Linked DNA regions of Diceros bicornis minor. The protein of the gene in region 2 interacts with the protein of the main gene of each other region in a pairwise test. Links are inferred from orthologs where the notes say so. Each region holds a gene or a part of one and is shown on either strand. Other genes may lie near its edges. The genes, in order: FOXR1, BANP, NEDD9 and PPIC.

Region 1 (7,100 bases), on a different chromosome or scaffold from region 2:
AATCAGGGTTGTGGTTTGGCCAAGCAAGTGCTCCAAAGCTATAGAGGGTCAAAGGAATTGATGGTGAATGCAAGTGCATGAGCATATCTGACCATGGGATTGCAAGTTAGTTAAAGAAGAGAGGACATCCAGTGATTGAGAGCAGTGAAAGGGTGACAGGATCAACAGATTGACGGTCTCAGTGGGATCAAAGGATAGTGCCTCTGTCTGTCTCCCTCCCTCCCTCTCTGGTACAGTTGCCTTCTCAAGGACAATGTTCCAATAATACTCTCCTCTCTTTCCTGTGTTATTAATTTTGTCTCTATTGGTTCACTCTCATTAGCATTCGTTAATTCTCTCATCTTATTAAAAACACCAACTTCTTTTGCCCCACTTTCTGTGCCAGGCCACTACTCCATATTTTTGCTTTCCTTTGAGGCAGAACTTCTTGGAAGAATTGTCTATACTTTGTCTCCACTTCCCCTCCTTCTACTCTTAAACCCTTGCCAATCAGGCTTTGGCCTCCACCACTCCACCAAAACCACTATCATCTGCTTTGCTGAATCCAATTGTCAGTCTACCTCTTACTGGTTTTCTCAGCAGCATTCCTCTCATCTGACCACGCCTTCCTTGAAACACTTTCTTGATTTGGTTTCCAGGAGAACACACTCTCTTAGTTTTCATGCTCAATGGTCATTTCCTCAGTTTTTGCCATTTATCTATCTTCGCTCTAATCTCTTTACAATGGACTGCCCCCAGGGCTCATCCTTAGTCCTTCTCTGTCTTCTCTATTCTCACTCCTTAAATGCCATCTATATACCAAAGACTGTCAAAATTTATATCTACAATCCACACCTCACTCCAGAACTCCAGACTTATATATCCACTTGTTTACTCAACATGTCTACTTGGATATCTAAAAACTATCTCAAACTCAGCATGTCCAGAACAGAATTCCTGATCTTCATCCCTAAACTTGTCCTACCAGAAGCTTCCCCCATCTCAGTACAAGGCAACTCCATCCTTCCACTTGATCAAAAACTCAGAGAAGTCATCCTCTAATTTCTCTTTCTTACACCACACATCAAACCCATCAGCAAATCCAGCTAGTTCTACCTTCTCACTACATCCTCTGCTACCACCCTAGAGGTCCACTGGACCATCATCTCTTGTCTGGATTGTAAGCAGCCTCCTAACTAGTCTCTCAGCTTCTAGGCTCCTAGTCTCTCTACATTTACAGCAGCCACAGTGATCTTTTCAGAATATAGATCATGCAGGATTGGCTCCATAAATTTCAGGGCCCAGTGCAAAATGAAAATGTGGAGCTCTTTGTTCAAAAGTTATTAAAAGTCTCAAGACAGTGATGGTAGAGCATTAAACCAAGTATAGGCACCCTATGCAACTGTACAGCAGGCTGCATACTCATGACGCTGAAGATCATGTCACTCCTCTGCTCCAACTCTTTTAACCATGCTGCTTCTTACTTAAAGTCAAGCCCAACATCCTTAAAGTGGATCTTCCTGATCTCTGCTCCACACCCTCTAATCTCTTTATTTACTTTAATCCAGCCTCACTGGCCTCTTTACTGTTCCTCAAACACTCCAGGCATATTCCTTCCTTAGGGCTTTTGCACTGGCTATTTCTTCTGCCTGGGAAACATTTCCCCTAAATATCCTCTTGGCTCACTATCTCACCTCCTTCAGCCCTCTGCTCAAATATATGTTCCCAGTGAAGTGCAACCTGATGACCCTACTTAAAACTATAGCTGCCACCACCTCCTCCCCCAACCCATTCCAGAAACCTCTTACTGTCTCCTCTTTCTCCTATCTCAGTTATCACCTTATAACATATTTTTTATGTGAGTTGTCTGTCTGCCCCCAGTAGAATGCAAGCTCCACGCAGCCTTTTCAGTTTTGTTCATTATGCTTCACGAGTGTCTAGAACAGTGCCTGGCAAATTGCAGGTGCTCAATAAATATTTCTTGAATCAGTGAAGATATAGGAACGTGCATCAGCACTACTTATGGTGGCAAAGAGCAGGAGGCAATCTAGGTCTCCATTAGTAAGGAGAATTAAAAGGCAAAAGGAAGTATATGCAGATGATAGAATACTAAACATCAGTCAGAAATGATGAACCAGATCTGCCTTTAGCAACCAGAATAGCTCTCAAAAACAATGTGAGTAGGGGAAAAAAGCTGAGCATTATGTAAATTAAGGTCACCTCTGAATACAAAATAATGCTAAATAGTTTTCAAAGATACACTTAGCTAAAGACATTGCATGGATTAGGGTAAATACATGGGCGTGTGGGAGGTGATGGAAGTGAGGGTGGAGGAGGAAGGGGAAAAATGAGTTACTCCAAGTACCTTGCCAAACAGATGGCAATGAAGTACCATGAATGTAGGTGATTACCTCAGCTCTCTGCACTTGAGGGCCAAAGAAAAAATTTTAAAGACCACAAGTCAACCATTCAGTCAGCAAATATTGAGCACCTCTAGGTGTCAGGCAATGTATTAACAGGTGGGGATAGAGCCTCGAACAAAATTGATAACTAAATTTTTTAAAAATGAGTAAAATATGTAGTGTGCCAAACAGCGCCAGGCGCCATGGAGGAAAAGCCGAGAAGAGGCCTAGAAAGTTCTGGGTCGGAGCTGGGCGGGTTGGGTCAAGAAGAAGGCCGCTGGGTTTGGGCAGGACCGCTGCCCTCTGTGAGCTTGCAGTCCAGGCGGCGGCCCAATTGCCACTCGGCGAGGAGGGGGTGGGGGAGGGGGCTCCGGGACTCAGCAAAGGGGGCGCAGGACCCCGAAGCTCTACGCCGCCAACCAGGCTCAGCCAGGGAAAGGAGGAGGTCGAAGGCTGGGGGGCCCACTGGCCTGGGCGCTCCCGCGAGCTCCCCCACCCCCCACCGCGCCGGCACGCCCCCCCCCCTCCGGCCCCCCTCCTTCCCCGGGACTCACGGTTCTGCTGCACTAAGGGCAGGTGCGCTGTGGTGAAGGCCAGAAAGGACTCTTTCTCCATGTCCCAGTCCAGCAGTCCCGGGACCTGGCCATGGAGGCTGGCCCAGAAGTCGAGGTGTCGAAGTTTCAGGTCCACCTTTAGGGGGAGGAGAGCCCGGCAGGGGGTGGGAGAGTCGGAGAGACTGAGGCTGAGGCCTCAGAGGCACGTCCTCAAATACCCGGGTCTGATTGACTTAGTTGGAGGCAGCTCAGGTGTGGAGAGTCCCTATTTGACGCCTTGAAGCTCCTCTGGCCTCGGCTGACTACTCTATACGACGACGTCTTTCCTCAACCCCCTTCCTGCGCTTTCATTTTGAGGTCTGGGGACCTTGGGGGTCCGGAAGGGGGTATCCCAGCTCCTCTTGCCCCTCTATATTTGCACAAAGCTCTTCTTTTAGGTAGTCAATTAGTCTACCTTTTAAGAATGATCCCCTGAGAGTATTAATAGCTACTTTCTAGAAGTTCTGATCGATTTTACCGTTTATCTAAGATCGCATCTGTGGTGGTACATGGTGGAGATACGATTGAAGGGTGATTTTTAAATTTTGTTTTTAATGATTTCAAATTTACAGAAAAATCCCAAGGATACTATAAAGAATTCCTGTATACCTAAATCCTGTAATTCACCAATTACACCAATTATTAACATTTTATCACATTTTAATTTTTTTCTCCATATGTATAAAACATGTATTCTTTTTCCTGAACTATGTGAGAGTAGTTTGCAGACATCATGTCCCTTTACCCATAAATACTTAAGTGTGTATTTCCTAAAAAGAAGGATATTGGCTTAGATAACCAGAAAATCAGAAATGGGAAAATCATTAAAATAAAAAATTTAACGTTGATTCAATACTATATTTAACGTACAGATCCTATTCAGATTTCATCAATTGTCCCAATAATGTTGTTCATATAAATTTGTTTTCTGGTCTAGGATCCAATTCGGGATCATACAGCATAGTTATATATTTTATTATTTTTGTGTGTGTGTGAGGAAGACTGGCCCTGAGCTAACATTTGTTGCCAATCTTCCTCTTTTTTGCTGAGGAAGATTGGCGCTGAGCTAACATCTGTGCCCATCTTCCTCTATTTTCTATGTGGGATGCTACCACAGCACGGCTTGATGAGTGGTATCTTGGTCCACACCTGGGATCTGAACCCGCCAACCCTAGGCTGCTGAAGCTGACAAACATAACCACTGTGGGGCACTGGGCTGGCGCCAACGCAGTGTATTTAATTTTCATATCTCTTTTAATCTGGAGAGTTTCTCAGCCTTTGTAATCTTTCATAACATTTAACATTTTTTGAAGAGTACAGGCCATTTATTTTGTAGAATGTGTTTTAGTTTAGATTTGTCTGATGTTTCCTTATAATTAGACTTAGATTATGCATTTTTGGCAAAAATACTACAGATATGATGTTATTAGTCCTTCTTAGTACATCGCCTCAAGAGGCACATGATGTCAATTTGTCTCATTATTAGTGATGTTAACTTCAATCACTTGGTTTAGTGGTGTCCACCAGGTTTCTCTACTGTAAAGTTACCTTTATTTTTCTTTTGTAATTAGTAAGCAATCTGTAGGGAGATACTTTGATCTGAAATCCTGTTCCTCATCAAATTTGGACCCACTAATTCTAGCATCTATTTATGATTCTTGCCTGAATCAATCATTACTATGATGGGAGTAAAATGACTTTTCTAAATTGATCATTACTTTTCCATTTATTTCGTTGGCATTCTATTGTGAGGAAGAGCATTTCCTTATCCCATACTTGTTTGTTTGTTTATTATCAGTATGGACTCAAAGGATTCTTATTTTGTAGAGTGGATTATAATTCATTACTATCATTATTTGTTTTAATCCTCAAATTGTCCCAGATTTGGCCAGTGGGTGAGGCAGCCCCCTCTGGTTCCTTTGTGCGTCCTGAGTTCCCCATTAGAGCCCATCCACGCTGTACTGTGTTGCCTGGTGCTTATCTACTAGACCAGAAACTTGGAGAATACTTGGTGCATAGGAGACCCCCGATAAGTGTTGTAACTACATTGAAAACGACAGCCTCCTTTTTAAAAGTTTGCTGGGACTCTACCTTTAATACCAATAATTTTGATGATAATTTCCCTAATTGTAAAAATAATACACATTTGGGGCCAGCCCTGGGGGCACAGTGGTTAAGTTAGCATGCTCAGTGGCCTGGCATTCACAGGTTCGAATCCCAGGTACGGACATATGCACCACTCATCAAGCCATGTGTGGCGGTGTCCCACATAAAAAATAGAGGAAGATGGGCATAGATATTAGCTCAGGGCTAATCTTCCTCAGCAAAAAGAAGAGGATTGGCAACAGATATTAGCTCAGAGCCAATCTGCCTCACCAAAATAATAATAATAATACATGTTTGATGCAGAAAACTTGAAAGTATAGAAAGCACAGAGGAAAAAACAATAAAAAAAATCATTCTTTGTATTAACCAGAGATAATTGATTACATTTTGATGTATATCCTTCCAGTCTTTTTCCTTATGAGTGTTTCATTTTTGTTTTGTAAAAAAAAAGTTACTGTAATGCAACCACCCCTTTCAAATTAGTGTACCATTTAAGAATGTTTATATCATATAAATCATGTATCTGATAAGGGATTAACATCCAGAATATATAGAGAACTCCTACAACCCATCAAAAAAACCAAACAACCCAATTTAAAAATGGACAAAGGACTTGCATAGACATTGCTCCAAAGAAGATATACAAATGTCCAATAAGCACATGAAAAGATGCTCAACATTATTAATCATTAAAGTGCAAATCAGGGCCGGCCCCGTGGCTTGGCGGTTAAGTGCGTGCGCTCCGCTGCTGGCGGCCCCGGTTTGGAGCCCGGGATTGCACCGACGTACCGCTTCTCCGGCCATGCTGAGGCCGCGTCCCACGTACAGCAACTGGAAGGATGTGCAGCTATGACAGACAACTATCTACTGGGGCGTTGGGGGAAAAATAAATAAATAAAATCTTTAAAAAAAAAAAAAAGTGCAAATCAAAACCACAATGAGATACCACTTCATATCCATTGGGATGGTTATTATGAAAACAAACAAACAAAACACAGAAAGTACCAAGTGTTGGGCCGGCCCTGTGGCTTAGCGGTTAAGTGCGTGCGCTCCACTACTGGTGGCCCGGGGTTCGGATCCCGGGCGCGCACCGATGCACTGCATCTCTGGCCATGCTGAGGCCGTGTCCCACATACAGCAACTAGAAGAATGTGCAACTATGACATACAACTATCTGCTGGGGCTTTGGGGGAAAAAAAAAAGGAGTAGGATTGGCAATAGATGTTAGCTCAGAGCCGGTCTTCCTCAGCAAAAAGAGATTGTTATCTCAGGGCTGATCTTCTTCACAAAAAAAAAAAAAAGAAAGTAACAAGTGGTGACTAGGACGCGGAGAAATTGGAAGCCTCGTGCATTGCTGGTGGGAATGTAAAATGGTGCAGCCCCTCAAAAAATTAAACGTAGAATTACCGTATGACCTAGCCATCCCACTTCTGGGCAAATACCCAAAAGAACTGAAGTCAGAGACTTGAACAGAGATTTGTACACCTACATTCATAGCAGCATTATTCATAATAGCTAAAAAGTGGAAACAATCCAAATGTCCATTAGTGGGTGTATGGATAAACAAAATGTGGTCTATACATACAATGGAATATTATTTAGCCTTAAAAAGGAATGAAATTCTAATACATGCTACACCATGGATGAATCTTAAAAACATTATGCTAAGTGAAATAAGCCAGACACAAAAGGACAAATTTTGTACAATTGTACTTTTATGAGATACCTAGAATAGCCAAATTCATAGAGACAGAAAGTAGAATGATGGTTGCCAAGGCGGGTGAGGGGAATAGGGAGTTATTGTTTAATGGGTACAGAATTTCTGTTTGGGATGATGAAAAAGTTCTGGAGATGGATAGTGGTGGTGGTTGCACAACAATGTCAATGAACTTAATGCCACTGAACATACACTTAAAAATGGTTAAAAGTAAATTTTATGTTATGTTTATTTTACCACAATTAAAAAGATGTTTATGTCAATAATCTCCAAATGTTGCTGCACAATGGAATCTCCTGGGGA
Region 2 (7,587 bases):
TCTCTGCGATCTGGCATTTGAGGACCCAGCACAGTAGTAAGTTCCCAATCACCCAAAGGGAAACCCACGTATTTTCAAGACGAGCCCCACAGACTCGGAGCTTTCTGCCCACTTCCTCTTGCCTTAGACAATAATTACCAATATTTGAGGAGCACTTGCTATATGAAACAAGAAGCCACCAAGTTAAAAAAGAAAACAACAGTGACACTAGAGGAAACAAGAAATCAGAGAACAAAAAGAGAACTAAAACCCTTATTTGTATCCTCAGAGTCAAGGAGACAACGAATGTATTCATAAAACAATAAGTTTCTATGAAAAAAAACAGAAAAAATAAGCTCTTGGACATTAAAATTTCGATTGTGGAAATAAAAACTTAAAATAAGATTGGAAGATAAACTGAAGCCCTTTCCCAGAAATGAGAATAAAATGACACAGGAAGAAGACAAAGAGATTCAGGGGGTCAATCCAAGATGACCATCATCAAACAGGAACCCAAATTGAGAAGAGTAAAAGCAAAGTGGAAGAAATTCTCAAATAAATGATACAAGAGAATTTCCCAGAGTCAAAGAGCATTCGGAATGGGATTCCACATTTTTTGACACTCTGGGAATGTCCTAAAACCAAAGAGGATCCTTAAGAGTTACCCAAAAGGAATACATCTACTTGGCAGAAGGTTCTCATTGAAATGATGAAGGAAGCCAAGATTAAAACATGGAGTCCTGAACAAACCCAGATGTATAAGAAAAGAAAATATCAGGATAATACCTGTGCTGGCCTAAAAATCAATCCAGACTGGAAAAAGAGAACAGAGGGCTGGGGAGGAGGGGGAAAGTTGGAGAGATGTGACACTATCCTTGAGAATTTAAAACAATATAAGCAGTCAATGGGAGCAGAAAACGCAAAGAAAAAGAAAGGCCATTACAAACGACAGCAAACACATCAAGCTGTGTGAGGGAAATGCATTACTTGGCTGTGAAGCAAACAATATCTGCAGTTACAAACCATCTGAGTTAACTGAACATAGTGAATTCAGGGTATAGAGGAGTGAGATCCGACAGGAGAGCTAAAGCATCCTTTCGTAACAAAAAGTCAACAATGTGTAAAATCAACAAAACACCAGCTTATTGTTGAGAGCTTTGGAGACCTTCCTGAAGAAACAACAAAAACACAAGTCTTTGGGGAGTGGGACTGAAAGGCGGCACAGGGGACTGCTGCTTTCGCCGTATGGACACCTCACCTGGACGCTACGTGACAACACGAAGCGCACGTCTGCACTGTTAAGCGCACAGCCTCCAGACAGCTCACCGCGGCTCCGTGGCCTCGGCGGCCCCTAGCCTCCCGGCCTCAGCGCCTCCTCTGTCAGACGGAGCGGTCTCGGCCTCCCCGCGTCGTCGTGTCGGGAGTCACCGGAAAGGGTCAGCAGTCCCGGCCACAGCACACGACCCAGAAATGGCAGCTGACTTTTCAAAATTAAAGCCCACGATGACACAGTCCAACATCCCAAGAACATATTCTTGTTCTCATTGCAAGACAGAGGGGAAAGGAGCTGAACATACAGAACGAACTGTGCGGGCAATTCTGGCGTTTCCCCACCGGACGTTTGTCCAGGGCTGGCCCACAAGCCGAACGTCAACGACATCACCTGCGCTCTGAGGGGCGCCTCCCTCCCGCACGTCCTGAGGACCACGCAACTGCCCCGTCAGCCTCCGTCTCCCAAACCTCCGTGCCCCTGCCCCCTCAGAAGGACGGTCCGCTCTCGTCACCAGTCACCTCGGGGCTGCGCAGCAGCGCCGTCGGGCGGACGGGCGACTCCCCGCGGAGATCACCTGTCCCCGTCGTCGGACTGTGAGCGGGCCTCGGGGCGGGCTCCCTACGCTGGAGGCCCGGGTCCGCGTTCTCAGGGGAGGTGACTCCTCCGCCCCGCCCCCGGCCCCCAGGGAGACCCGGCCCCCCGAGGCGGCGTCCTCAGTGCGCACAGCGGGGCACGGGCTGTGAGGACAGCACCTCCGTGCAAAAAGCTAAGGCCACAACTCGAAAAGATGCAATCACAGACACGGCAAAAAATACTGGGGGGGGGCGGGGAGGGGGGCGACAGCCGCCTCCACCGAGGCCCCCAGCCGCCCCCTCCCGGCCTGCCCCCGTTCCCTCTCCCTCGTGAACCCCGCCATCAGAGGCTCCGCGTCTGCGTCCCGACGCCCGGGCTCCGTTTCACGGGCCCCGCGGGCGCTCGATCGGAAGTCCGCCTGACGGGGCGCGACACCGCGGGGCGTTCTGTGCCTTCTCGGTTTTTCCACTTTCCCAAACAGGTGACAACCCGGCCGGCACGTCCGGCAGCCGCGAGCGTCCGTCCGGGCGCGGGGGCCGGCGGGGCCGCTCCCACGGGGGGGACGCAGGGCCGGGCCGCCCCCGCCCGTCCACGGCCCGCACGGCAGTGGGGGGAGATGCACAGAAGCGGATACCACCCTCCTCGGGGAACGCGAGTGCGCAGGGCCCGGGACCGAGGCGGTCAAGCCCCCGGCCGGGCGGACGGGGCCGGCGGGACGGCGGGGAACTGACGGGACCAGGGCTCTGAGGGCGGACGGCAGGACCCGGGCAGGAGGGCCCGGAGGGCTAACAGGTCCGAGGGCGCTGAGGGGGCGGCGGGGACGGGGTCAGGTCCGGAGGAGCTGAGGAGGCGGCGGGGCTGAGGGGGCGAGGCCGGGGCCCGAGGGCGCGGAGACGGCTGAGGGGGCCGAGCGGGCGGCGGGCCGGGGGCCTGAGGAGGCTGAAGGGGCGGCGGGCCGTCCGCGGCCCGGACAGGGTGTCCCGGGCGGGGGCGGCGGGCGCGGCGGCCGGAGGAGGGCGCAGGGTGGAGGGAGGAGGGGAGATCTCGCTCTCGCTCTCGCCCCGCGGGAAGGGGGAGGTGGAGACGCGACCGACTGCGGGAGCTGCAATTACCGTGTGGGCTGCGGAATTCTCGTGGTGTTTGTCGGGGAGATGCGATAATGGCGTCCGTCCTCGCGAGAGAAGCCGCGGGTCTGCGCAGGCGCCAGGAGTCCCTCCCCGCGGCCCTCCGCCCTGCACCGTCTGCGCAGGCTCCCTGGGCGGGGCGCTCCGAGAGCGGGGGCGGGGAAGGGGGCGGGGCTTGCCGCTCGTGGCCTCCCGAGGTCGCTGTCGCCTGCGCCGACGACCGCAGAGCATGCGCACGCGTCCTTCTTCCGTGCCACAGTTTGGGCCCTGCAGAGTTCTTTCTTCCCCATCGTGCGCTCGGTCTCCTCGCTAGGCCGTGAGAAGTCGCGTCGGTGGACCGTTGGAAGAATTTGCATTTTCTTTGAGGCTGAATGAATAGGAATTAGCTCCCCCCCCATGACTACATATCCCGGGGGGCCCTGCGCGAACCGCGAGCAGTGCATCCTGGGGCTTGTAGTCCGTGCCTCTGCGCCATGCTTTGCCGGTACTTGTAGTCTGTCCGCACTCCGGTCGCGTGTCCCGCGCGCGCCCCTTGGGCCACTGGGACTTGTAGTTCAGATGCTCGAGGCAGCTGCGCCCGGCCCGTGCTCCGGTTCCGGCGGGGTTCCCCCAAATACTGGTGGTGTTCAAGGGTCCCCAGCGTCTGTCCAGACAGTCGCGAGTGCACGCGCGTGGAAACAATATATATAAATTATATGCCTATGCATTTTTATGTAATTAATATATTATGTATAATATGTATATATGTAATGTATAAGCTATATTACATATGAATATAAATATAGTATGAATGTGGTTATATTATATTTATATAGCGTAAATGCGCCTTTGTGGGTACTGGTAGGGAAAAATCCCTATTCCCCTACCTGGAAATAGACAATTCCCAGAAACTTTCCTGCTTCTCTATCTCTGTGTGCTGGCGTTACCATTGCTTTTCATTTTTCTTCTTTATACGTACTCACCTCTATTTTCCGAGTTATTTACAATGATCATCCAAACACAAAACGAGGGAGCTGTTTTCATTTGAAAAATAAAACGCTTTTCCCAGAGTCTCCTGCCCCCTTCCCTTTCCCACTAATGAAAACGTGATTCAGGGCAGTAACCAGCTGTGCGGCCTGGGGCAACCTTGTTGAGTTAGCATGTCCTCCAGGATTTAACACCAGGGGTTCTGCTGAGGCCGGGCGCTGGATTCCTTTGCAGGAAAAGTGCCTTAAAGAAATTCCAAAGAACCACAGAAAGTCAGTGCTGGAAAAGATGCTGATATTGAAATGACATCTGTCCTGTTTAGAGTTGAGGAACAGTCTCAGAGAGATTGCAAAAATTGTTCAGCAAGGACACACAGAAGTGGGGTTTGGAATCAGAAACACCTTGGTCTAGAGTCTGCTCACAGTGGGGAAGAGAATTGAAAAGCTAACCACAAAAATCCTGAGAGAGGACCAGGGGAGAAAAGTTCTGGAGAGCCGTGCTTTCTAGCCCCACCTCTGCCTCAATCACAGAGGAATCTAAACTCATAACTATGTAAGAATTGTTAACATAAATACGTGAATATCCAACTAGAAAGCCGATAAATGTAGGGTGATATTTTTCACATTATTTCAAAATATCACAAAGTCCTCGTCTGAGCTCTCTTTCAGGTATGGGTTTGCCTGCTCCTTCCTGCCCAGCAGGGAAATTGGCTCCAACGCACAGCTCCTGGGATATTGGGAGGATTCATTGAAGCAGAGTTTGTAAAGGGTTTAGCAGAGGGTCTGACTCAGGAAATGATCACGTTACCATGTGTTGAGTTACCACACCTCAAGCCAGGCACATCTTATTATGATCCCTATTCTTTGTGAACAACATGAAGTTCAGAGAAGTTAAGCTACACACCCAGGGTCACACAGCTATGGCTGTGTTAGAGCTTTGAGGAGGAAGGTTGTGAGATGTCACAGGAAAGGTAGTTAGGATGTGGGCTATGCAGGTCCTTATTGGCCAAGGGACAAATTTTGTCTTGATCCTCAAGTAATGGAAAGGCTTTACAAGGTTTGGGGCAAGGGTGTATATGATCAGATTTGCATATTCAAAAGTCACTCAGGCTGGAGTGCTGGAAAATGAATTGAGGGTGGGAGGAGGGGTACTGATTTGGAGGGAGCATTTGAGGAGGCTATGGCAGGGGTCCAGGCAAGAGATGATGGAGGCCTGGACTAGGGTGGTCACAATGGAGACTGAGATGCAGAGAAGTGGACAGAATCAAGAGATTCCAAGGGGTGAAATCAATAGGACCTGCCCCTGAATCTGATACTGAGGAGTAAGGGAGTAAGGGAGAGGGGGCATCAGGGATGCAGCCTGGGTCTGCAGACATGTAAAACTGGAGAGACCGAAGCACCATTCCCTGAGATGGGGAACTCTGGGCACCACTGGCCACTGGCCACCACCCATGGCTGTGGAGACTGCCCTGAACAATGCCCTGTTGTAGCTGGTCCACCATGGGGGCCTCTTCTGTAATTCCTCCCCCACCCCAGGACACCTCTTTCTGCTTCACACAGAGGCACTTATGGGATAAGGTTTGGGGGTGAACTGGAGTCTTGGGGATAGAGCTCATAGGATAATTCAGGGGAAATGGGAAGAAGCAGCACCCAGCACCCACCAGAGCCCCATCTGCCCCTGCCATGGATTCCACCCAGACCTGAGACAGGCCATGGCCACATGTTCTGGACAGTCAAGAGATTTAAGGACCAGGAAGTGATGTCAGCAACATGGCGGAATAGGAGGTCCCCCATCATATCCCACCTCAGCAACAATAATTTGGTAGCCATCCACAGACAGAAGACCCTTTGAGAGACCTTTGGGATCCAGGTAGAGACTGTGAAACATTGGTGGAGCCCAAGACCAAGCAGGGTCATTGTGAGTCAGCCTGCACCCAGGTGTCTGACTTGCTGACCTTGGTCTCAGTCACAGACCCAGAATCAGGCCCATCCTCCCATGGACTTGACTGCAGCTCCATTTGGCCTTTGTCCTGCCACCAGCACCACCTGCCAAGGGACCTGGCAGGAATCAGGCCTGCCTATGCCTTTGGTAACAGGCCTGCTGAATTTGGTTCTGGCTGTGGGCCCTGAAGCGGCCCTGGGACCGGCTCTAGCCTCTCTTAGCCATGGTCCAGGAGCAGTCCTGCCCACTCAGGGACCCAGAGGAGACACACCTGTCTGTAATATGCTACCCCACATTAACAAAATGAAGGATAGAAATCATATGGTCATCTTAATAGATGAAGGAAAAGCATTTGACAAAACTCAACATCCTACATGATAAAAACCCTCAACAAACAGGGTATAGGAGAAACAAACCTCAATGTAATAAAGGCCATATATGACAAGCCCAGAGCTAACAACACACTCAACAGTGAAAGGTTGAAAGCTTTTCCTCCAAGCTCAGGAACAAGACAAAATGCCCACTCTCACCACTTCTATTCAACATAGGACTGGAAGCCCTAGCCAGAGCACTGAGGCAAGAAAAAGAAAAGGCACCTAAATCAGAAAGGAAGAAGTTAAATTGTCTCTATTTGCAGATGACATGATCTTGTACATAGAAAACCCTAAAGACTCCACCAAAAAACCGTTAGAACTAATAAATGAATTCAGTAAAGTTGCAGGATGCAAAATCAGCACACAGAAATCAGTTGTGTTTCTATGCACTAACAACAAACTGTCTGACAAAGAAATGAAGATGACAACCCCATTCACAACAGCATCAAAAGAATAAAATACTTAAGAATAAACTTTACGAAGGAGGTAAAAGACCTGTACACTGAAAATTGTAAGACACTGATGAAAGAAACTGAAGACACAAATAAATGGAAAGAGGTTCCGTGCTCATGGATTGGAAGAATTAATATTGTTAAAATGTCCATACTACTCAAAGCCATCTACAGACTCAATGCAATCCTTATCAAAATTCCAATGTCGTTTTCCACAGAAATAGAAAAACCAATCCTAAAATTTGTGTGAAACCACAAAAGACCCCAAATAGCCAAAGCAATCCTGAGAAAGAACAAAGCTGGAGGCATCATGATCCCTGACTTCAAGCTATATTACAAAGCTATAGTAATCAAAACAGTATGGTGTTGGCATAAAAATAGACATATAGATCAATGGAGCAGAATACAGAGCCCAGAAATAAACCCACACATATTTGGTCATCTAATCTTTGACAAGGGCACCAAGAATATACAATGAGGAAAGGACAGTCTCTTCAGTAAATGGTGGTGTTGTTGAATGAATATTCACATGCAAAAGAAGGAAATTTGACCCCTATCTTACACCATACATAAAATTAACTCAAAATGGATGAAATACTTAAATATAAGACCTGAAACCATAAAACTCCTAGAAAAAAACAGAGGGAAAAAGCTCCTTGATATTGGTCTTGGCAATGATTTTTTGGATATGACACCAAAATCACAGGCAACAAAATAAAAAAAAAAAAAGAAAAGTGGGACTACATCATGCTAAAAAGTTTGGTGCAGCAAAATGAAAAGGCAACCTAAAGAATGGGAGAAAATATTTGCAAACCATCTATCTGATAATCAGTTAATATCCAAAATATATAAAGAACTCATACAACTCAATAGCTAAAAAACAACCTGATTTTAAAGTGGGCAGA
Region 3 (7,641 bases), on a different chromosome or scaffold from region 2:
ATTTTTGTATATTTAGGAAACAAATGGGCAAAAGTCAGAAAAAACTGAGGAGTCTAATCTCTTCAACAGTCTAACACAGCAATGTAGTTTTATTTTTTATATTCTCGTGAATAAGATGTTTTCAAATTGCTATTTCATGTGAAACCAGAACAGCAGTTTATACAGTTCCCTCAGAAACCGAGGGTAATATAATGGTTTCAGTCTCATGTTCTGTTTGTGTGCACAGCATACTCCAGTGTGAGACTGCACACATGCACAATTGCAAATTGACAGTGGTTACATATATTTATATAAACATCTAGAAAATGTCCTGGAAGAGTACATCCCAGACAGATAACAGTGATTCACTGTGGGCAAAGCAGGGGAGGGAACTGAAATTAGGGCTAATTGTCAAAAGGCACTTTGGTTTTATCTGCAACTTTAGTTTTTTACAATATAAATTTATTACTTGTAGATTTTAAAAATTAATTTCAAAAAATATGGAGAAACTAACGAGTTTTACGCTAACACTAACGAGATTTACGCAATTATTTTTTGGGAAGTCAAAGATGGTTATCATCCAGTAGAGGGATAGGTGAACAGGATATAAGTAATGGAGAAACCAGTGTTTGGTGCCTGCCAGATGCCCAAATACAACGAATGCTTCCAATAAGTCAGAATCTTCTAAATTCACCCCATCAGTTCTCTCTTAAAAATAATTCAGTTTTTCTTCCCTTTGCTCTTCTAGGTGCCCATGTTTTTTCAAACAGCTGTTCCGTGAGCTAGAAGAATGGTTTCATCATGGCCAATGTCATTTACCTACTAATGATAAACATCAAAAGTGGTAGCTATTACTATTATGATTAACCAAGTGGTAAGTCTTGAAGCTATAATTCAAAGGATTGAAGAACAGGCAGAGAATGAGGAACGGGACAGATGGAAGGGTAAACTTCTGCAGAGACCATGAGGGATGCTGAAAGAGCTCACACCAGCAGCTCTGAACCTAGGCATGGCATGAGGTGAGGGCTGGGCTCAGAGCTTCTGGAGAGTGAGAGAAGTTTGGAAAGACGACGTGACAGATAGTCAGTGGGGGACGAATAAGAAGATTCCTGAGAAGCATGAGGGCCTCAGTTGAGGTTTGAGCGGGAGGAGTTTGCAAGGAAACAAATTTGCCTTTGTTAACTTTCCCCAGTGAGTCTGGGCAGCTCTGGAGCATGAGAAAAAGTAGATTGAGCTTCTGTCTATGGCTGGAAATGGGTGAACACCCGGAGGAACAAGAACAAGGAAATCGACATGTTGCTGAAATAGCTGGTCATGACGTTCTGGCAATGTGAGAGTGCTAGACTCCAGGATTTGGTTGATGGACTGGGAGAACAGAGGAGGTGGAAGACAAAGACGTCCTGTTATGATAGAGAGAAAAGGAGAATTGTAAATGGCAAGAGAGCAGAAGAGGAAGGTGGATGATGTCCATTTTGCCATGCCTACTAGACTGAAATTTCTCCTATGGAAGGAGCTGATTCTCATTCATTTTTCAGTTATCATAGCACAAATTCATAAGTGCTTTTAATATCATGAATGAACCAATTAATGGGAATAGTTATCTCACTAGATTAACTCCCCACCAAGCTAGGAGTTTCTTGAGGGCAAGCCCTGTGTTTCGTGGATTGATGTATCAAAAATGCACCAAAAAGCTCAGAGGAGTTTGCAGGTACACAACAGTTATTGAATGGACAAATGAACTGGATCTTTTTGAGCTCTGATTTCTTCAACTAAAAATGAAAACCTCAAGACTGACTCGCATTCTCCAGCAGGGATGAGGCATACGTTATAACACTAGACAAATTTGCTATTAAAACTTGCCAAACCAACTCTTGAGCATATTCATTTAAATTGCTCAGTGGGCAGCTGATTCCATATGGCTAATACTGTCTTCAGTTGTGGAGGGAAATGAGTCAAGCAAATGGAATCATAAATACACACACACACATATATACACACACACGCAACTTGGCCACGGATTTTTTAACCTTTTTCTTTTCTCAAATTCTCCTCGCTTCTCTCTCTACCACTCCTCAGCCTCCAGCCCATACAACAATCGCTCCTTGGACCAAACATCCATGACAAATTCAAAACAGTTGCCTGGGGTTTGGCTACTGCTTAACAGGTAGTTAGAAACACGCTGCGGTGTTAACGGAGATTCCAGCTAACGAAGATGGCATGAAGAAGTTGATTAAAGCAGCCAAGAAAACTGTTCAAATGAAGATGGAAATGTAGACGCCATCTTCATTGGACAGAGTGATTAGAAATTACGGTTGTTTGTTTTTTGTCAGAACCATCTGTGATTTGTCAAAATTTTGGCACGTGGCATAACCTGCCACTAATCAAAAAGGAGAAAACAAATCAAAAAAAGGTAAGAAAATTTAAGACTGTAAGTAGGAAAACAGACATAGAAAAACCTTCATCTTACCAAGTGGGAAAAATATTTAACTTATTTGTCTAAAACAAGTCTCATCTGTTTTTGGACAAAATCTGAGCTCCTAGTTTGCCTTGACAGGTATGCCTTCTCTATTTGGAAGAAGAACTCAACAGTGGGAGGTCCAGGCAGCTCAGAGTGGGAAAAGAAGCCATGAGGATGGAGACGAAAGAACGGAGTTAAGGATAATCAAGTCACGAAACTTAAGTACTTTATTTAAAAGAAGCCCAGGCTTATTTTTTTATTATTTTTTTTGTGAGGAAGACCAGCCCTGAGCTAACATCCAATGCCAGTCCTCCTCTTTTTTGCTGAGGAAGACTGGCCCTGGGCTAACATCTGTGCCCATCTTCCTCTATCTTATATGGGACGCCGCCACAACATGGCTTAACAAGCGGTGCATCGGTGCACGCCCCGGATCCGAACCGGCGAGCCCCGGGCCGCCACAATGGAGCACACGCACTTAACCGCTGCACCACCGGGCCTGACACCCCAGGTTTTTTTTTTAGTATATCTAGAGTGTCATTGACTTATGGAGACAACTCTATTATTAATCTTTGAGTTATTATATATAACTGTAAAGTATTTTTTCTGAAACTTACACATTTAAATTTATACTGCTTAAATATCTAGTGAAGAAAATAATACCTGATATGGTATACTGAGAAATGCATAGAGGGACATTTTGAAAAAACGTGCATTTGTCTGAACATCTCCCTTACCTCTATTGATTTACGATGAATACTCTGCACTATAAAATAAAAACTTGGAAATAGGATAATTCTACTTCCAATCTGAAACAATTATTGAAATATAGCATGTCCCCAAGAGTGGTGTTTTAAGGAAAGGGGAGAAAAAGAAAAACGACAGAGTACTATGATGATATTTTCACCATGAACATTGCTAATTACACTTATAGATGTGACTATGTGTGATGATTTATACAGATGCTCTTGTTATTGATGTATTTATAAGCCCCAGTTGCACAAGGCATTGAGCCGTGTGTTCGCTTCTTTGTTTAAATGTGGCATCTGCTAAAGGGCCGAGTATTCTTCAATATGATTCAGGCCAGCTCAACATTTAAAAATAAATGACATGGATCTGAATTTCAGAGAAGTGTTATGGGAAATTAAAACAAAACAGCAAAAGTCACGAGAGTGCAACACACAACATGAGCAGAGTGTGAAGACGAGAGGGGGCCAACAACAGTCCTTTCCTTGTCTTGGTGATGGAGCAGAAGCATCAAGCACCACTGGATCATTTGGGGAGTATCACCTATTCAAACTATCTCCCCTCTCTTCAACCCTCTATGTCCCCCAGTCATTTCCTAGGCACGAGGTGAGAAGTGGAGAAAAGAAGGAAAAAAGGAAATGATTGAGCTTATAATAGCATAATTTGCCACTAATAATAATAGCAAACTCTTGTATACTGCTTATTTATTTGTCCCAGGCACTCTCTGGGTGTTTTCATACACTAACTCACTTAATTCTCACAATAATCCTATGGTTATTCCCATTTTACAGATGAGGAAGCTGAGGCACAGAAAGATCAAAAGCATTTATTTGAAAGGTAGAGCCATAATTCACACCTGGGTATTGGCCTCAGAGTATATCCACTTGTTTGCTACTCAAAAGCACAGCTAGAAGAAGACTAGGGCTGTGAGGCTAAGTAACTTTCTAGTTCCCTTCCACATACTCAAATCTGAGCTTCCACACCACATTGTACACAGGAATTTTCCACGTGGGTAGTTACCCCCTAGCAGGGCGCTTGTCACAGTACAGGCTCAATAAATACTTGTCAAATGAAAGAATGTTTCATGTCAATTTACAGTGAAACTCTTTGGAACATATTGAGTCCATAAAACCACAAAATCCTGACTTGGTTGGCCTAAAATAGCCTAAATTTTTGCCTCAATGCAGCCTAGAAAGGAGCTTAAACCACTAAGGAAGTACATTGCACAGAATTTCATTGCAATAATAATGTGCAGATCACCTATCTTTCTCAAATTAGGAAATGGTGCAGAGTAGAACTATATTTCTTACCTGCCCCTAAACTGCAGATATCCGCAGTGTGTCAGGAGGTCTGACAGAGAACACAGAGAGGAAATGAACTGAGACAACATCACTTCAGAGCAACCGGAAGGAAAAACACACACATACCTACGCCTCTCACATTCTACGTGTGGTTGCTCAGTGGGGAAATGCTTACAGCTGCCTTTAGAAGCAAGCCCGGAGACTGCAGCAGGAAAGAAGCCTAATCGTGGGGCAGGACTGAGCTGCCACCTCCTGCCTGCCCACTCGGAGAGAGGGCAAGAACGCCAGGGATACCAGATGATCCACCAACAGTGGTGCTGCCCTGGGTGAGTTCTCAGACACTTGCTGTGGCCTGAGGGGAGGAACAGGGGAGACTCACTCAGACTCGGACTTCCTGAGTTGGTGTCAGACATCTGGTGGTATTCCCCACTGTTAACACCCCTTAACCGAAGCTGGGAGGGACTTAACATGCCCCAAAGGAGGAAGGATGGCTCTAGACCTCATTCAAGTTAACCTGGAGGTACTGGCTTTAAGGCAACTTAAAACCTACCTGATTCTATTTTTTTTTTTTTTTTTTTGTGAGGAAGATCAGCCCTGAGCTAACATCCGTGCTAATCCTCCTCTTTTTGCTGAGGAAGACCGGCTCTGAGCTAACATCTGTTGCCAATCCTCCTCCTTTTTTTTTCCCCCCAAAACCCCAATAGATAGTTGTATGTCATAGTTACACATCCTTCCAGTTGCTGTATGTGGGACGCAGCCTCAGCATGGCCGGAGAAGCGGTGCGTTGATGTGCGCCCGGGATCCGACCCCGGGCCGCCAGTAGCGGAGCACATGCACTTAACCGCTAAGCCAGGGGACTGGCCTCTGATTCTATTTTTAAAATCATCCTGGGTAGTGCTTCCTGGTGTGTAGAGTAGAGGCTCCTCCCCAATTCCTACCATCATCAGAGAGTTCTCCTGTGCTAAGCTGAGCTTTTACTCTCCTCAACTCTTTCAGTACTTTAAAGTGTGGGCTGCCACTCACACTTGATGGTAGATTAGAGTCATTGATAATATCATTTTCAGCCACTCTGGGAATGACTCCTGAGGGGCAAGAAGCAGCGATTGAGAACTGGCTTCAGTGTGTGTCCCAGCTCTGCAGAGAGCTGGTCATTAGCATCATCTCTAAGGGGCTGGGGACAGATTACACTGTGCTCTGCCTGTCCACATTGGGCCACCGCAACAGCTCCATCCTTCCTTTTCTCTATATTTATTAATTCGTTTAACTCATTCATTCATTCAATTGCCTTTTTCCCACAAGGGATTTGAGGCAACTCTTTTATCTTGCTGAAATTACTTCAAAATGAAGAACACATACAACTTGAAAGAGGGAGAGTCATTCTAAAAGGGTTTTCTGTTGTTTAAAGCTGGTGGAGATGGGCGAGCAGGCTTTTCCCTGTGCTGGTGATGAGAGGGGAGAGTGGGTGCCCCAGGCTTTTTAACTCCTGCTTGAGGAGCCTGTCCTTTCCCTTAGTGGGGAAGCTAGTTTCCCATCCAGAAGTGGGTGTGAAGAGCAATTGTCCTTGACAGAACCCTGGGAACCAGCCAAGCGGTTTTCCTCCTTGTTTCTGTTTCCTCCTGAGTTGGGTTATTTTCAAGGACATTCCTGTTCTAAGAACGGGGCAAAGTGGAGCTGTGGAAAGGAAAGAATATGAAATCAGTTTTGAGTTAGAGCTCCACCATTTCTCATTAATTAGTTCATTTATTTAACAACTATCTAGTGAGTATTCACTGCGTGGCAGCCACTTTTAAGTCAAAACTTACATAAGATGGAGCAAAACTGACGTTGCCCTGCCCCCAAAAAGCTTACGGTTGAAGGGAGAGGCAGACGTTAATGATTACATAAATATGATGAGGACCAGAACGTGTCGCGGGGGAACCTGATCTCATCTGGGAGTCAGGGAGGTTTCCATAAGGAAGGCAGATATGAGAACTGAAAGAGGTGTAGGAGTTCACAAGGCAAAGGGAACAGCCTATACCACACCCCGAGGTGGAAGGCCACAGAATTGTCCTGCAAAATTATAGCCAGTATGGCCAGAGGGAAGAGGGGGGTGGCTCAAGGTGAGCCTGAGGGACCAGGTTAAAGATGCTGCTTATTCTAAAAGTGTTGGAGAAGGTAGGGGTGTTGTGAACTGATCTGCATTTTTTTTTTTATTGAGGTAACATTGGTTTATAACATTATATAAATTTCAGATATACATCATTATATTTCAATTTCTGTGTAGACTACGTCATGTTCACCACCCAAAGACTAATTACCGCTGTACACACATGCCCTATTACCCCTTTCATGTTAAGGAATCCCTTTTGATACAATGTGGAGAATGGATGGGAGGAGGCACGCCTACAGACAGGGAGACTAGTTAGGTTGATGAAGTCAGCCAGGCAAGGATGTCTGTGGGAGTACAGACAAGACAAGGGTGGTAGGAGTGGAGATAGAATTAGACAAATTAAAGAGCCATTTAGAAAGGAAAATCAACAGGACTTGGTGGTGGACAGGAAAGGAAAACGAGGGGGAAGTGTCAAAGATGATCCTGTTTCCTGGTTTCGGCATCCAAATGGATATTGATGCTGCTTGCTGGTCACAGAGACTGGAAACGCTGGTGGAGACCAGGCCCAGGGTTAGTTCAGTTCTGGAGCTGATGATTTTGGAAGGCCTAGCAGACATGCAAAGGCAGACATTAGCCAGGCAGTTGTCATTGATCAACATCTGGATAGAGCTCAGAGCAGAGATCTGGGGGATGCTTGTCATATAGATGGTAACTGAAGCCAGGGGTATGGATGATACATACTTGAGAGTATCAAATAAGAAAAGAGGAGGGTGGCTTAGGGTTGAACCTCAAGAAATTCTAACACTTATATATGAAGAGGAGGAGAAGGAGCTCTCCAAGAAGACTAGGATGGCTTCTTGAAAAGTTAAAAATAAAATTACCATATGACCCAGCAATTCTACTCCTAGTTATATATCCAAAAGAATTGAAAACAGGGACTCCAATATGTACATATACGTGCATTTTCATAGCAGTACTATTCACAATAGCCAAAAAGTGGAAACAGCTTAAATGTCCATCAACAGAAGAATGGATAAACAAATTGTGGTATGTGCATACAATGGAATATT
Region 4 (7,388 bases), on a different chromosome or scaffold from region 2:
TAAATATCACATGGACCGAAAAAGAAAAAAAAAGTGTAAATTAGAAAATATTTTTAGCTGAATGCTGATGAAACAACTACATATCAAAATTTGTGGGAAGCATCAAAAGCTTTGCTTGTCAAGGGGAATTCTATTACTTTAATTTCACATAGAGCAATATAAAAGAAGAAAGGGGAAAAAAATCAATGAATTAAGAGTCTATCTTGAGGAGATAGAAAAATAACAGTAAATTAAACTCAAAGAAAGTAGAAGAAAGAAAATAAAATTAAGAACATAAAGTAATGAAATAAAATCAAATGCATTATATTCACCCGCTTCCTTGGTGAAACCATTCAAGGAAAAAGAAAAAAGAACCAATAATAGGAATGAAAAAGAAGACCTTACTACAGGTCCTCCAGCCCTAAAAAATTATAAAAAGATATATTATGCAACTTTATGTAAGTAAATCTTAAAATACAAATGAAATGGATAAATTCTTCAAAAAATACTACATGTAAAAATTGACAGAAGAATAGAAAATTTGAATGATCCTTCTACTATTTAAAAAATTAAATTTACAATTTAAAACTTTACAAGCCCACATGGCTTCTAACAAACATTCAAGGAAGAAATGATGGCAATCTTACACAAACTCTTTCAGAACATAGGAAAGACATTTACCATTTGCCAACTCATGTTAAAGGACCATAATAACCCTGATATAAAAAGTTACAGGAAATTCCAAGAAAGGAAAATTTCAGGCTAGTCTGACTTCTGAATATAGATGCAAATATCCTGAACATAAGATTAGCAAACTAACCCACTAACATCAAAATGGGATTTTGACAATCAGCTTGGTCTGAACTGGAAAGCGAAAGCCACACTTTACCTACTGTTTTTCCTTGAACATCAAAAGAAATACCTTTTTTTGTTTTTTTGTAAGTTTGTTAAAAGAGAAAATGAGCAAACCATATGCAATAATATATTAAAAGGCCACGTATTACATGTTGGGCGTATTCCAGAATGCAAGGTTGTGTTAAGATTTGCAAATCAATGCAATTTACCACATTAACAGAGTAAGGGAAAAAAATCATCTGATTATTTCAGCTAATTTCAATAGATTATGTGTATCAAATTCATGATAAAAACAAACTAGGACTAGAAAGAAATTTTCTTAAGCTGAAAAAGGATATCCCTTCCCAAAAGAACCTTCAGCAAATATCATTCTTAATGGTGAAATAGTGAAAGCTTTTCCTCTGGGATTGGGACCAAGCAAGTTTATTGGTTTTCTAAGGCTGTAGTAACAAAGTACCACAAGCTGTGTGGCTTAAAATAACAGAAACATATTGTCTCACAGTTCTGGAGGCTAGAAGTCTGAAATCAAGGTGTTAGCAGGGCCATGTTCTCTCTGAAGGCTTTAGGGGAGGGTCCTTCGTTGCCTCTTCCTAGGTTCTGCTGGTTGCCAGCAATCTTTGGTATCCCTTGGCTTATAGATGCATCACTCTCATCTCTGTCTCTGTCTTCGTATGGTATTTTCCTCTGTGTATGTCTTTGTCTCTCTTCTTTTTATAAGGACACCAGTTATATTGCAGTAGGGCACACTCTCCTCCAGTATGACCTTATCTTAACTTATTACATCTGCAAAGACCCTATTTTCAAATAAGGTCACATTGACAGATACTGGGGTTTAGGACTTTAACATATCTTTTGGGAGGACACAATTTAACCCACAAAATAAGAACTCCCACTATTGCCACTTCCTTTTGTACTGAGGGTCCTAGCCAGTGCAATAAGGCAAGAAAAAGAAATGAAAGGTCTAAAGATTAGAAAGGAAGAAATAAAACTGTCATTATTCATGGATGAGATAGTTGTCTACATAGAAAATCCTACATAATTCCCAGATAAATTATTAGAATTAATAAGTTCAACAAAGTTGATCTATTCAAGATTAATACACAAAATTACATTTACAATATAATAGCAACAAATAGGAAAATAAATATTTAAAAAGATAGAATTTACAATAGCATATAAAAAACAAACACCTTGAAATCAATCTAACAAAATATGTTAAGATCTCTAGGCAGACAACTATAAAATTTTACTGAGAGAAATTAAAGAAGACCTAATAAATGGAGGAATATGCCATGTTCATGAATTGGAAAACTCAATATTACAAATATGCCACATCCTTCCAAAATGATCTATAGATGCCATGCAATCCCAATCAAAATCCAGTTTATGAAAACTGATTCTCAAGTTTAGATAGACATGGAAAAGGTCAAGAACAGCCAAGAATCCACTGAACAAAGTGAGAGGACTTGTACTACTAAATATGAAGACTTATCATAAAGCTATTTTCATTAAGACAATGTGATATTGGCACAAAAATAAACAAATATGCCAATGGGACAGAAGAGAGGGCCCACAAACAGACCCATGCATGTATGGACACTTGTTCCATGACAGAAGTAGCATTACAGAGCAGTGAGTAAAGGAGAGACTTTTCAATAGATTGTGCTGGGACAAGTGGATATTCATATTGAAAAAGAAACTGAATTTGACCCCTACCTTGTGCTATGCACCAAAAGAGCTATAGGCAAAAACATGGATGAATTTCACAAATATAAATTCAAGCAAAAGAAAACATGCTATAAGATTCCATTCATATAAAGTTTAAACAAAACTAAATCATAATGTAAGAAGTCAGGATTGTGGTTAACTTGGGGAGAAGAAAGTGTTAGTAATCGGGAGTGGGTACAAGAGGAGTTTCTAGAGAGCTGGCGAACATTTCATTTCTTTGGGGGGGTGGGTCCTAGTTATGTTTGCTTTGTGATAATTCGTTGATCTGTACATTTACCTTTTGTGCACTTTTCTTTATTTGTATCAATCTTCCCAAGAAAAAGATTTTTAAAAAGAAGTTGGACAGACACATTCATTGTTCTTTCATTGAACAAATATTTATTGAGAAATCAGTATGTGCCAGGCATGGTACTAGATCTAGGTCATCAAAAGGAATAAATACAGGCTCTGCTCTGGCTCTGCTCTGGTGGCACGTCACTGATAGCAGAGACAGACAAAAACAATTACAGTAATGAATACAGGTAAATATATGTAGTTACTCAGTGAGATTAGCGCTCTGATACCCTTAGCTGGCTACAAAAGGGGGCCTCTTTCTTTATTGGAGGTGGGGGTGATGAGGAAAGCCTTTAAATCCTTCTTCCCTGGACTAAATTGTCAAAGTAGTTCAGAAGCGTTCTGCCCACCCCTCAAAAGCAGCGGTTACTCCTTTTACATACAATGAACACTTCCAATGTAATTTTAGATCTCCACTTAGTTACACATAGGAATCCTATCTGCTTACCCAAGGGAAATCTTGGCTTGCAAGTCACGGCACCAGCCCCTAAGAAAACCAAGAGAATACTATTATCAATTTGTAGTGAATTTGGAGCTATTACTTTAAAATGAAAAAGTTCTTTTGAAGTCTTAATTCAAAAAGCATTGAGTTTTAGAATAACGTTTTCCTGATTATAAAATACTTACAAGTTCAATGGAGAACATCTGGGAAATCAGAAAATTACAAAGAAAACAAAATTCCATAATTCTATCACCATAGCTACTGTAAATGTTTTGGTGCATTTCTTTCCATTTTTAAAATGCCTTTATATATTTATTTTCACAGTTGAGATCAGAATTTCTAGGGGATTTTGCAACCTGAGTTTTCCATTTAAAAATATAATGAGCCCTTCCCCGCGTCATTAAAGAATCTTCCCAAACAATTATTAAATTTGTAAAAATTATATCTCCAACTTGAATCATCTCAATGAGAGGTCATTCATCATGTGTAATCGAGTCAACCCATTCAGGAGTCGGTCCCAAAGTTCCGAGAGGCGTCCAAAACTTAGCTAAAGTCTCTGACGGAACATTGGAACCTGGCAGGCGCGGCGGAGGCTACTCCAAGGGCAGCTGCGGTTACAGACCCGGACCGTCGGCAGAGTCCCCAGCCCGGCGGCGCGCAAGTTGCCAGGCGGCTCCGGAGCGTCCTCGACTTTCCGTGAGGTTTAACAGGCGCCTACGCGGTAGGTTCCTGGAGATGTCCCCGCGCACCCTCAGCTCTCGGGCTCCGGGCCGAGCCTGCCGCGCCCCGTGTGCGCGCCTCTCCGGGGCGCCGCGCCCCCGCCGCGCGGCCTCGCTCCGGGCCCTGGCGCCCAGCGCACCCGCCGCAGGCGCGGCGGTGGGACCCGGCTACGCCCTCTGCGGCGCGCCTCTCCGAGTCCCTAGTTCGGGTCGCTGGGCTGAACTTGGGAGGAGCGCACCCTGGGTTCCGGCTCTGCCCCGGCCGCCCATCCCCATCCGCATCCCCATCCCCCGCAACCGGGAGCGCGCAGGCGCAGCTGGCCGGGAGTCCCGCCAACAGTCCCGGCGCCTGCGGTCGTGCCCGAGCCGCTGCCACCACTGCCACCGCTCACCATGGACCCGGGTCCCCGGCTGCTGCTACCTCTCATGCTCTGCATGGGGCTCGGCGCGCTCGTGTCTTCTTCGGGGGCCTCGGGAGTTCGCAAGCGAGGCCCCTCGGTGACAGCCAAGGTGACCGAGCGGCGAGCAGCAACTTCCCCTCGTGCCGGCCACGGGGATTGGGGAGCTTTGGGGACTGGGACCTCAGCGTCAGGGGCGGCGAGGAGGGGGCTGGCTTCCCTGGCGCAGAAGGCGGGAGGCGGCGGGGGGCTAGGTGGGAGGGGGTCGCCCGCGCGCGGGGGGCGCGCTCTCGTGGGAGACTTTGGGGGCGCTGGGCGGAGTCCCAGCCCGCCCCCGGCGCCGACTGTTTGAACTTAGCCTCCCGGGTCGGTGGTCCGACGTGTCCAGCCCGGGGGCTGGGAGAAGCTTCCGGAACCGGTGGGTCGTTTCTCCAGGAAGGAGACTGGCCGAGTACTTCCTTCGGCGTGGCGGGGACTTGGGAACAGAAGCAGGAAGAATGTGGGAGGGACGGGGACGGGCGGAGGAGACGCGCTCCGAGCCGCGGGTTTGCAGCCGGCCGGCCCGCCGCGGCTGTCACCCGGCCTGGAAGAGCCCAGGTGCAGCCCCTGCCGCGGGCTGCCCGGGCCGCCGTTCCCCGCCTGGCCCAAACGGGAGGCTGGCCGCCTTCTGCTCTGTGTAGCAACCGTCGTCCTCCCCCGGCAGCGAGAGGGGCGCTTTTAGACTTCCGCGGCTGGTGGGTAGACCCTGGGCTTGGGAAGGTGCTAGCGTGGCACGAGTGTCACCTGTGTGACTGAGGCCAGCCTTTTCATCTCGATTAGGGGAGGAAAAAAATCTGCCATGAACTGTGTCTTTACAGCTTCGGTTCTTTTTTCAGCATATTTACCCAAGGTTAGAAGATAATGGGAGGGTGCAGGGAGAGGAGGAGGAGGGAGGTAGGAAGAGAGGGAGTGATTTGGTGGTGCCTTGATCACCACTTCTAGAAAAACCCACAGGCACTATGCGTCTTGGAATCTGGAAGGAAGGGCAGCTGCAAGTGATCTTAACAAGCAGTCGGGTGTTTGCCAGTGGAAATGATACTGCTGAACTAGTAGAATGTTCAAATCCTCCACCACAGACCCCGCCGAGGAGTGGGAGGACGAGGGGGTCTAGGAGGTTCAGCCCAACGTCTGATGTAGCCTAAGAGTGAGCCAAAAGGCCATGCCATGCTGCGGGGGGGGGGGGGGGGGGGGGAGTGTGAGATAAACTTAGCCTGATTGTTTTAAGCACTGATTCTACTCCCAGCCCTTAATCTTTGGGTCCTATCCAGTTTTGGGAAATGCCTTGTATAAGGCCACAGAGCTGAAGGGGTTGGGGAGGGGGGTTCTTTCAGTCCGCTAATACTATTTGGGTCTCTTGGGATATAGCCGTAAACATAAAATTTATAAAATTATGAAATGATGAAGGAAATAAACCCTAATACAGGTTGGATGACATTTAAAAATACCTGAAGGATAAGCACAAATAGCCTGGCAAAGACTTAGAAGGCAAAGGGAACTGCATGTGCAAAGGCCTGCAGACAGAAAAGCCATCCGTGTGTGCAGAGGATGGAGAAAGGCGACAGTGTGGCTTCAGCCCAGGGATGAGAGGGGAGTGGCTTGAGATGAGGTTGGAGGGCTGAGCAGTAGCAAGATCATGCAGGACCTTAGAGGCCACAGTTATGACTGTGGGTTTGAGGCAATTATTCTTATAATTTGAGGGCTTACTTAGGTGCAGTGAGAGCGGAGGAAGGGTTTTAAGCATGGGATGGCATGATCTCATATATGCTTTTAAACAATTACTGTGGTTGCTCAGTGGAGAGTGAACAGGGAGGTCATCCAGGGCTCCATGTCAGAGTCCAGATGATGGTGGCTTGGATTAGGGTGGTAATGGCAGAAATGGGGAGCAAGGGAGGGACTTGAAAGAGGTTTTTGAAGTATAACTAACAGAACTTGCTGACGGTTTAGATGCGGGTGGGGGAAAGGGAGTAGGATTGCGGGAAGCCCAGTTAGATTTCTCAGTGTGAGTACATGACCTGCAATATTTGGGCACAAGCTTCACCTGGGAAGCTTTTAAACCTCTCCATGCAGAGACCCACCCCAGAGCAAGTCAGTCACAATCTCTGGGGTGTGCCGCCTGGGTTGGGAACCTCTAGAAGAGGGAGCCAAGAGGGGAGGAAGCTGGTGGCTGTAGGAGGGGAAGAGTGGGAGCATCTTAGCCCCTAGTCTAGGGTGCTGTCACTGAGGAAGTTTTCATGTGTCTGCTCTCGGAATTGTCACTTAATGTATCTCCTTTTTTCCCCCACCAAATTTATCATTAAATTCTAAAAGCTAATTGTGTAGGCAAGTCTTCCACAGACTCAACTCTGTTGAATTACTTTTTCAGTGGACTTTTTAAAACAACTAAATGTATTGGAAAATAGAGACATTAAAAAGTATTTCTCTAAGTGTGGAAAAGTAGATTAATTGGCCGTTGCTCTAGTGTATTGTTTTCCCCAGCAGTCTTTTCCTTTTTCTCTGATTTCAATTAAAAATAGCAATCTGTAAATAAGAGAGGTGTGAGGTGCTGTCCCCACACAGGGCCGTTTAATGGCACTCAGTGTGTGGTGAATCCTGCTGCCAGCCACTGTCTCAGCTTCAGGGCTCTAGTTCACAGGTCTCCAAGTCCACCAGATTGGCATTTGCAGCCCTGCATTTTCCAGCAGATGCCATGGGTTCTGTGCAAAGTCAGGCACCCAGAGTATTGAAATTAATGCTTCCATCTTTCCAGCTGCACTCACGTCACAGCTTGCTGGCACTTTCTACAGCATGGAGTGGCCAAGAGGCTATGACCGGGTGACCTTGGGCAAGTTATCTAAGTCTGATGCTCTGTTTCCTCCTCTGTAAATGGAGATAGAAATGATACCTACCTGGGAGAGT

The links.
Region 1: the proteins of BANP (region 2) and FOXR1 interact in binary tests that used the Homo sapiens proteins (3 or more experiments, as listed by UniProt). The two-hybrid records come from large-scale screens. The link is inferred for Diceros bicornis minor from reciprocal best matches to the Homo sapiens genes BANP and FOXR1.
Region 3: the proteins of BANP (region 2) and NEDD9 interact in binary tests that used the Homo sapiens proteins (3 or more experiments, as listed by UniProt). The two-hybrid records come from large-scale screens. The link is inferred for Diceros bicornis minor from reciprocal best matches to the Homo sapiens genes BANP and NEDD9.
Region 4: the proteins of BANP (region 2) and PPIC interact in binary tests that used the Homo sapiens proteins (3 or more experiments, as listed by UniProt). The two-hybrid records come from large-scale screens. The link is inferred for Diceros bicornis minor from reciprocal best matches to the Homo sapiens genes BANP and PPIC.

What each region holds. Positions count from the first base shown.
Region 1 is NC_080746.1:18,002,998-18,010,097, forward strand, and holds the start of FOXR1 (forkhead box protein R1), read right to left. Parts: upstream 3,012-7,100; 5' UTR 2,997-3,011; coding exon 2,936-2,996; intron 1-2,935. UniProt on the Homo sapiens protein: Transcription factor which acts as both an activator and a repressor.
Region 2 is NC_080771.1:36,394,498-36,402,084, reverse strand, and holds the start of BANP (protein BANP), read right to left. Parts: upstream 3,015-7,587; 5' UTR 2,938-3,014; intron 2,101-2,937; exon of another isoform or gene 1,238-2,100; intron 1-1,237. UniProt on the Homo sapiens protein: Controls V(D)J recombination during T-cell development by repressing T-cell receptor (TCR) beta enhancer function. Binds to scaffold/matrix attachment region beta (S/MARbeta), an ATC-rich DNA sequence located upstream of the TCR beta enhancer.
Region 3 is NC_080753.1:55,281,149-55,288,789, forward strand, and holds the start of NEDD9 (enhancer of filamentation 1), read left to right. Parts: upstream 1-4,637; 5' UTR 4,638-4,808; intron 4,809-7,641. UniProt on the Homo sapiens protein: Scaffolding protein which plays a central coordinating role for tyrosine-kinase-based signaling related to cell adhesion. As a focal adhesion protein, plays a role in embryonic fibroblast migration.
Region 4 is NC_080740.1:43,990,656-43,998,043, reverse strand, and holds the start of PPIC (peptidyl-prolyl cis-trans isomerase C), read left to right. Parts: upstream 1-4,380; 5' UTR 4,381-4,449; coding exon 4,450-4,566; intron 4,567-7,388. UniProt on the Homo sapiens protein: PPIase that catalyzes the cis-trans isomerization of proline imidic peptide bonds in oligopeptides and may therefore assist protein folding.